Oreochromis niloticus: one gene and its partner. The protein of the gene in region 1 interacts with the protein of each later gene in a pairwise test. Links are inferred from orthologs where the notes say so. Each region holds a gene or a part of one and is shown on either strand. Other genes may lie near its edges. The genes, in order: tchp and ndor1.

Region 1 (3,924 bases):
CAGGTTAAATAGCAAGTCTCTATTTAGATATAAATAAAAATAAAATACACTGGTGTGGTGAAACGAGACTAACAGGAGAGTGAACGTGCCAGTGGAGTGAAGTCTATTAGGGCACTAATTAGGCAAGAGAGTTTCAGACACCTGTGTGAATGTACTATGAGTGTGCGGGATGGTAATGGCCTGTAGGAAAGTTGGCTCAAAAATTTCTGGGTCAGGAAGAATAATGGTGACAAGGAGGAAAGAGCTTAATATCGACATCAGACTTGGTTCATCTCAAGGGTTTCACGTGGCAAATTCAATGGAGGGACTTTGGCATATTAATAGAGAATGAAGCCGCACAAAGATGCCCTGGCGCACCGCGGCACCGGTGAATGGGCAAGGGGAACTCAACACCGTACTAATCAATTTTCACAACTTAAAATCCAGGCCAGTGGAGTAAATTATGCATGCTAAAGGATTGTGGACAGGTTGGTGGAGAGAAACACGATCCAGAAAAGATTATCATTAGGAAGAGCAACATCGTTTTGTTAAACGAGATGGAAGTGTTGTGACAGATTTATCATCACTACAAGTTCAGTGTTTAATAATCAGACAAATTCCAAATAAAGATTCACCACAGTGGAAAAAAATGTCCATTGCATGGGTGGTAATTTTAACGTAAACTGCACATTTTTGTACCTACTGGACCAGTTTAACAGTCGTGGACGTATAAAGCATGATCAGTCAGTGGCATTAATCTGGAAGCCTGAGGTTAATCATAAAAACCACCACAACTATACATTTTCCCTGTTGTCATCTATTTTTTAAAATTCACCACTTCATTTGCAGTCCCATTAACGCAGTCTCCCCTGTGTCACACTGTGGAAACTCCACTTACCAAAGAATGGTGGAAGGTATGACACAGCTTCCAGAAACGGTCTTGTTTCCACCTGTCTGTCAGCTGGCAGCTGTCTGAACTGGTGCTCCATTAGCAGAGCCATCTCTTTAGTCCGGATACACTCCTAACTGTTGAAATGATAGCAACAGGCTGTCAGTCCTCCACTGCAGCTTCACAGTGATAGGAGGAGGAGAACACACACACACAGAGAGAGAGTGAGAGAGAGAGAGAGAGAGAGAGAGAGAAACATCTCTCTCTCTCTCACACACACACACACACACACACATACACAGAGTGAGCGAGAAAGAGAAACATCTTTCTCCCTCTCTCTCTCTCTCTCTCTCTCTCTCTCTCTCACACACACACACACACAGAAATATCTCTCTCACACACAGAGAAGCCTCTCCTTCTCTCTCTCTTACACACACACACACACACACACACACACACACACACACAGAAATATCTCTCTCACACACAGAGAAGCCTCTCCCTCTCTCTCTCTTACACACACACACACACACACACACACACACACACAGAAATATCTCTCTCACACACAGAGAAGCCTCTCCCTCTCTCTCTTACACACACACACACACACACACACACACACACACACACACACACACACACACACTCACATGGAAGTCACCTACACTGAACTCCTGGCTGCAGAGGAGCTCATGTGATCGACCTGTTAGTGATAGATCCGGGCCATCGCCACCTGCCGGGGTAAGAGGCCGGATAAACGGCACACTTCTGCCAGACAGAAGAAACAAGTCCAGAGTAAACAGCACCTGATGTGCTCCATCAGCTGACACTGGTCTTCCTCTGCGTTTAATCACATATGCTCCTTTGCTGCCAACTAACGGAGTCTGGTGGAATATCGCTCTTTGGTTCCACCTAATTTATCTGTTTATCTGTTTTGTATTATTTCGTTAGTTATAGTTATCCCAGCATTCGTGCAAGCATATAATAGCTATGTAATATCTTACTGTAAAAGACAGACAAAATAGTATCACACATGAACTTAACAGTTTTGGATTTTACTTAGTTTATTTCATTTTAGTAATTTTTAGTTTAAACATTTTGTGTTAAATGTAGTTTAGTTTACAGAGTAGGTTTGCTCGTTCTTATTGTTAATTATTAGTTTCATATAAGTTCTAATTAATATTAATATTATTAATATCAGTAGTAGTAATAGTAGTGGTAGTATCAGATAGATGTGTCGAAATTTCGACATATCTAACTGAAAATTTAAAGGAAAGTTACAACATTTCAACACACTGACCCAAGAGATAATCACATAAAATCATGACTTAATGACGACAAAGACAAAGAAAATTCAGTGGCGGAAACAAACTTCCAACTATGCCTTTCGCGTTTTCCGCCACAAACTAAATTTGACCTTCACTTCATCCCGTAGCGTGTGAGTAACTAGGAAGTGTATGTATCGGTAACTAAGGAAAGCTGTAGTATTGAAGTGAGTAAATTTAAGCTTTCTGTGCGTGAAAGCAAAACGTCGATTGTTTTTTTAATTAAAAGCCAAGGGGAGGCAAACCGAGGTACCACCGAGAGGTAAAGTGGCTGCTATCGTTGTAGCTAAACGCTCCTTTTATCCGAGTGCTGATGGGTAGTTAGAGCTGGTAGTCTTTTGTTCTTATTGTTTTCTTTATTCTTTACGGCCATGAAATTATAAATGTTTTATGGGTAGAGCACGTATAACAATGAAGATATTGAGCTGTCTTCGGCATCAATATTTGTTAAGTAACTAATTACTTTAAAAAGCAGTATCAGTGAATATATGATGGGGCTAAGAGACCTTTGACTTGTGATGTCTACATTCGTCCATATTGACTGGCTACATGCCCTAATGAAACTATGTCTGCACTGTTATTTTTAACAAATTTAATATCAAGCTTTCATTTGTGTTAACTGTTCAGGTTCATGGCTCTGCCGACACTTTCGACCCGTGTGCCCAGTCGATCTCGGGTCCTGGCCGACCAGCTGGCCCGGCAGCGGGAGCAGGAGGCCCGGTGGCGGCAGCAGTGGGAGCTGCATGCTCAGTACTTCAGAGAGCAGAGCATCCGCAGCCAGAAACAGACGGTGTGGAGCTCCCGTCAATCCTACCAGCAGAGGTAACTTCCTCCAGCATAGATGCTCTCACTCACACGGTCTCCGAAACGTTACACAAATATTGAAGCAATCCAACTAAATAACTACACATTGCTTTATATTTAGTGATTTTATTTTTGTTGCCTCCTTACATTTTCTTGTCATTAATTTTACATGATTGCCATAACGTACTCCAGCATTATCATCCTGTTTCTCCTTTATTGCCCTCAGAGATGGCTCTGTAAGTAATCACGTCATGTCATATATAAGTTCTGTGTTGTGAAAAAAGTGATAGTACTTGACACTACTCCCTACCTTTTTTATTATTCATTTAGGTAACACACAGAGTCTAATAGAAAGCATGAAGAGAGTATTTTTCCCATGAGGGGACACCATAGGTATGGCCAAGCACATTTTATGATTGGATCTGAATGGAATGCTAACCAGATAGTTACTATAATATTATATTATCTATATTGTCATCATGTATAAATGAAAGACTGGAGCCAGAACATAAGCAAGACAACTAAGGGATGATGACCAGAAAAAAAGGTCTTCTTATTACATCAGATGCAGTAGAATCACCTAAAAGCACATCCTTAAAAAATAGTTTTCAGAAGTGAATCAAAGATTTCGAGTAGCCTATGGCAAAACTAGGCTAACCTTTATGTTGAAGTCTCGATTTTACAACAGCCGGAATGGACTCATCTCAGTCTGGGAGCAGACTCACGGCCAGACCGCAACACTTTAAAGGTGATCAGGAAAATTTAAAATCTAAAACCTACAGGAATCCAATCTTGTGAAGCCAGGATCATCCTGGAAATACCATAAATACTGGAATTACAATAAATAAATGTTTTCATGAATTCCTTTGGATTATTAGAATATGCTGGTATGCTAAGAGAAGTAGTGTTCAGTTGTTTGTTGTA
Region 2 (3,924 bases), on another chromosome or scaffold:
ATCCATGGGAATCCTCAGCCGGACCTCCTCCTTCTCTTGCATGTCGTCCAGGAAGTGGAACGTGTAGGTTGGAGGAAGTCTGTTGCAAACAAACACAGAACAAACCTATATATTAAATGTACGCCTTCTGAGAGAGGGACACGTGGAGCGGATACTCACGGCTCGTCTTCCCTCAGCGGGATCACGCCGGACAGAGTCGGGTAAAGGGTCGACACTTTCCCCCAAAACGAAGCAAACCAGGGGTCGATCACAGCGTCCGCTCTGCGTCAAACACACCGTCAGCTCAGTACACGAGCAACAAACTCTCCACCATCTTCATGTTTACACGTGTCTCTTACCCGAGGTCGTGCTGGTCATCAGCCAGCCCCACAGGCAGCAGCACGCAGGCACCGAGCTGCAGGAGGCGCTTATGGAGCTTCTTGGCCACAAAGTTGAACCTGTGGTGCACACAACATGCACACGCTTTAACAAAAACCAGATGAGTCACTGTAGACTAATGGTGAGAACAGCGAGCATAAACCCTGGACTGACTTTGGATACGAGGAGTCTCCCAGGCCCAGGATGGCGCAGTCGAGCCGACTCAGAGACCCGACAGGTAGAGACTTCTTAAAGAGGAACCGCCAGAAATTCTTAAAACAAAGAACACATGGATGTCTCAGACAGAGGTAAAGGTTTTCAAAATATAATTGGCTGTGCATGAAATATTTTATCCTTCTTCAGAAAAACCACGGAGGTTCTCACTGACCCTCAGAATTAGCTTCTTTGTTTAATATAACTTTACTACATTTAATGGAGCCATACAACACTTTACCTTCATATTCATAAGTCCAGGAGAAATCTACCTGTTATGTCCGACAATACTGATGCTACTGATAGTGTACAACAGTTTTAAAAAAGCTTTAATGTCTCTCTCACGTGAGAATGTGTTTCATGTGTTTCACGTGAATCTGATCTGATTCTAATATGAGGATTAGAATCTGATTCATTCTGAAGCTTTGGCCATGACTGACTGACTCAAAAACCTTATGGACAGACCTTAAAGATCCCTACATTTAGCAGGAAGAAGAGGGGAAACACTCTAAACTTTAAAAAAAGAAAACTCTTGTTTAATTTCAAACTGGAAAGACTGGAAGTAAAAAGATAATTGTGCTTAAAAATAATGACATTTCTTTTTTGGAAGGTCACCTTTCACTCTTCCAGTTTTCATTTTTCTTACCTTCATGTTGTCGGGAGGGTCTCCCTGACCAGTAGTGGAGCAAACAAAGACGACCAGAGACTCGGAGATCAAGTCGGCCTGTTTGATGGGAGGAAAAAGACACGCTGTGAGGTTGAGGAGGAGTACTCAGGAGCACCTCTGGGACTAAAGTTGGGTATAAACATGTGAAACACCAACTGTGACCCCACAGTTATTCCACATTTATCGAGTCACAGCTCTGAAAACTTTAACACTCCCCCTTACGTTTGAAAAACTTCGTCTCACTCACCACGTTGTAGTCGTCCAGCGGCATCACACGGACCCGCAGCCGCCGTCTCTGCGCCTGCCGGGCGAGCCTCTGTGCCGTGTCCTGAGCCGTCCCTGTCTGACTCCCGTACAGAATGAGCAGGGCGGGATTTGACATGACTGCTGACAGAAACACGAGAACAGAGACTCATCATGTTTTGGATACAAAAAAGCCTATGGGGCCTAAATTAAACATGGAGCAAAGAGTTCGATTCTCTCTGGTCCACTCAGGATGCAGTCCCACCACAGGAGTTAGACCCTGGTACACTCGCCCCTGGCTCATGTGACACAGCCACTTATTTTTCTCTTAACTGGCCCCAGATGGAGCCTCAGGTTCAGTTTTCCTTGGGTGACGCAGGCAGTGGTGAAGTTCCCAAATGTGACAGTTTAAGTTTAAGTTCACCGTCAAGGTTAATAACCCAGAGTTTAATGGACAGGAAGCTGCATTTGTTCAGCTGCCTGCTGTGTACATGTAAACAGATGAAGTTCTGAATAAATGTTTTGGTGAAACAAAGATGATGCTCGATTCTAGCGAAGAATAAAGTTTTATTCTATTCTATAATAGATACTAGACGAAAACCGTGCTCATAAAGAGAAGACTCGAAACAAAGAAACGTGAAGCGGAGCTCTGCTGTTAGTTTATAGTAAAAACAATCAATTAAACAATACAAACGACAACGTGACTTTAATTCTAATCATCTGACTTTCATCCTTATAAGCATGAGACTGTCTTTGCACATGTACACATGTCTGTGTGATGATACATGCTGACAAACAGGAAACGTTGGCTCTGAACACATTGATTAGCAATACTTTAATTTTTCACTCAGAAATATGTTCCGAGCATAAATCTCTTTGTTTGGGTCACAATAAACCATTTTCCGTGACCAGCAGGTATCTCGGTTACTTTTACAGTAGATATAATGAAATAAATAAAATATAACAATTAAACAGGTAAACTACCAGGCGTTCACCTTCACTCAGGACTACATAACTGAGCTGCTAGCTAACGTGCTAGAATACTAGTTAACCGACTGATAAAAATCTGATCCGTTATTTTACTTATTTTTTTTTTTTCGTCTATAAATCACATTTATGACCACAAGCAAGCAAACAAACAAATCGACTCACCGTCGCTGTCTTCGTCGACAATTACCTAGAAACTTATACAAATGAACCAAATAAACTAAGAAGCCGGGCCGTAACTGGTCATGCTGACCCTCAACGCCACACTTTACGGCAGGCACGCTGTGATTGGCTCACAGGTCGACGCTGCGTTCAGAGCCCCGGAGGAAAATCAGAAATAACAAAGTTTACGTAAAAATTCTTTCACTATCAACTTCTGCTGTTTATTCTTTATTATTTTCTTTTTTAAAAACATAATTCTTGATGAAGACATACTTTTCCTTTAAGTATTAATTAATAACAGCAACAGAGTGACTTATTTTTATTGATTTGTCTTAAATTTGAGCCTAAAACATCTGAAATAAGCATATTTTTTTATTGAATTTCCTGATTTATCCACTATGTAGCTTCATTATGTCTCATTTAAAAATTATATTAGCCTACAGTGCTTAATGTTGTCTTATGTCAAATATCAAAACATCTGCAGACAAACAGTGACTGCTCTGTGTTTGTCTCCACCTCGTGGTCAAGTAGATTTCCTGCAAACCTCATGCACTGGTTTAATAGAGCTGAGCTCACATTAAACTCACATCTGAGTTCACAGAAAGTGGCGACCACCTTCCTCCTGTGAGGTCTTATTCACCACGCTGCCTGTTTTGAGAAGGGTTCACTCAGAGATCTGAGGACATGAGCAGGATTAGAAAAGCCTTCTCTGGATCTGAATTAGTCTAGGATGCAAGGATTGCATATTAACAGTCCATAATCTGCAAACTCTGGTAAGAACCGAAGGTGCTTGAAGAACCATTCACAGAGTGAATTCTAACATTACTGTCATAACACTTAAAGCTACGCACATAAAGCTTCATCCACATCAGGGAATCACCTGACAGGCACAACACCACCACCAGCAGCAGCCTAGATACCAGAGTCAGGTACCGATCAACAGTTATTTCATATAATTTCACATTAAATTCAACCACAAACTATGAAATCTGAACCTCTACACCAGGGGTCCCCAATCTCAGTCCACGAGGGCCGGTGTCCCTGCAGGTTTTAGATCTCACCCTGGGTCAACACACCTGAATCACATGATTAGTTCATTACCAGGCCTCTGGAGAACTTCAAGACATGTTGAGGAGGTAATTTATCCATTTAAATCAGCTGTGATGGATCAAGGACATCTAAAACCTGCAGGGACACCGGCCCTCGTGGACTGAGATTGGGGACCCCTGCTCTACACCTCAACCACAGGGGGCAATCAAACACACATTAAACATTTGTATGAAACAGTTGTGTTA

What was found.
Region 2: the proteins of tchp (region 1) and ndor1 interact in binary tests that used the Homo sapiens proteins (3 or more experiments, as listed by UniProt). The two-hybrid records come from large-scale screens. The link is inferred for Oreochromis niloticus from reciprocal best matches to the Homo sapiens genes TCHP and NDOR1.

What each region holds. Positions count from the first base shown.
Region 1 is NC_031977.2:18,102,647-18,106,570, forward strand, and holds the start of tchp (trichoplein keratin filament-binding protein), read left to right. Parts: upstream 1-1,477; 5' UTR 1,478-1,612; exon of another isoform or gene 1,613-1,679; intron 1,680-2,311; exon of another isoform or gene 2,312-2,458; intron 2,459-2,823; 5' UTR 2,824-2,827; coding exon 2,828-3,018; intron 3,019-3,924. Other genes in the region: gltpa (glycolipid transfer protein), read right to left, coding at 878-980. UniProt on the Homo sapiens protein: Tumor suppressor which has the ability to inhibit cell growth and be pro-apoptotic during cell stress. Inhibits cell growth in bladder and prostate cancer cells by a down-regulation of HSPB1 by inhibiting its phosphorylation.
Region 2 is NC_031972.2:34,629,851-34,633,774, forward strand, and holds the start of ndor1 (NADPH-dependent diflavin oxidoreductase 1), read right to left. Parts: upstream 2,790-3,924; 5' UTR 2,633-2,789; intron 1,625-2,632; exon of another isoform or gene 1,622-1,624; 5' UTR 1,620-1,621; coding exon 1,485-1,619; intron 1,295-1,484; coding exon 1,217-1,294; intron 630-1,216; coding exon 532-629; intron 438-531; coding exon 339-437; intron 262-338; coding exon 160-261; intron 80-159; coding exon 1-79. UniProt on the Homo sapiens protein: NADPH-dependent reductase which is a central component of the cytosolic iron-sulfur (Fe-S) protein assembly (CIA) machinery.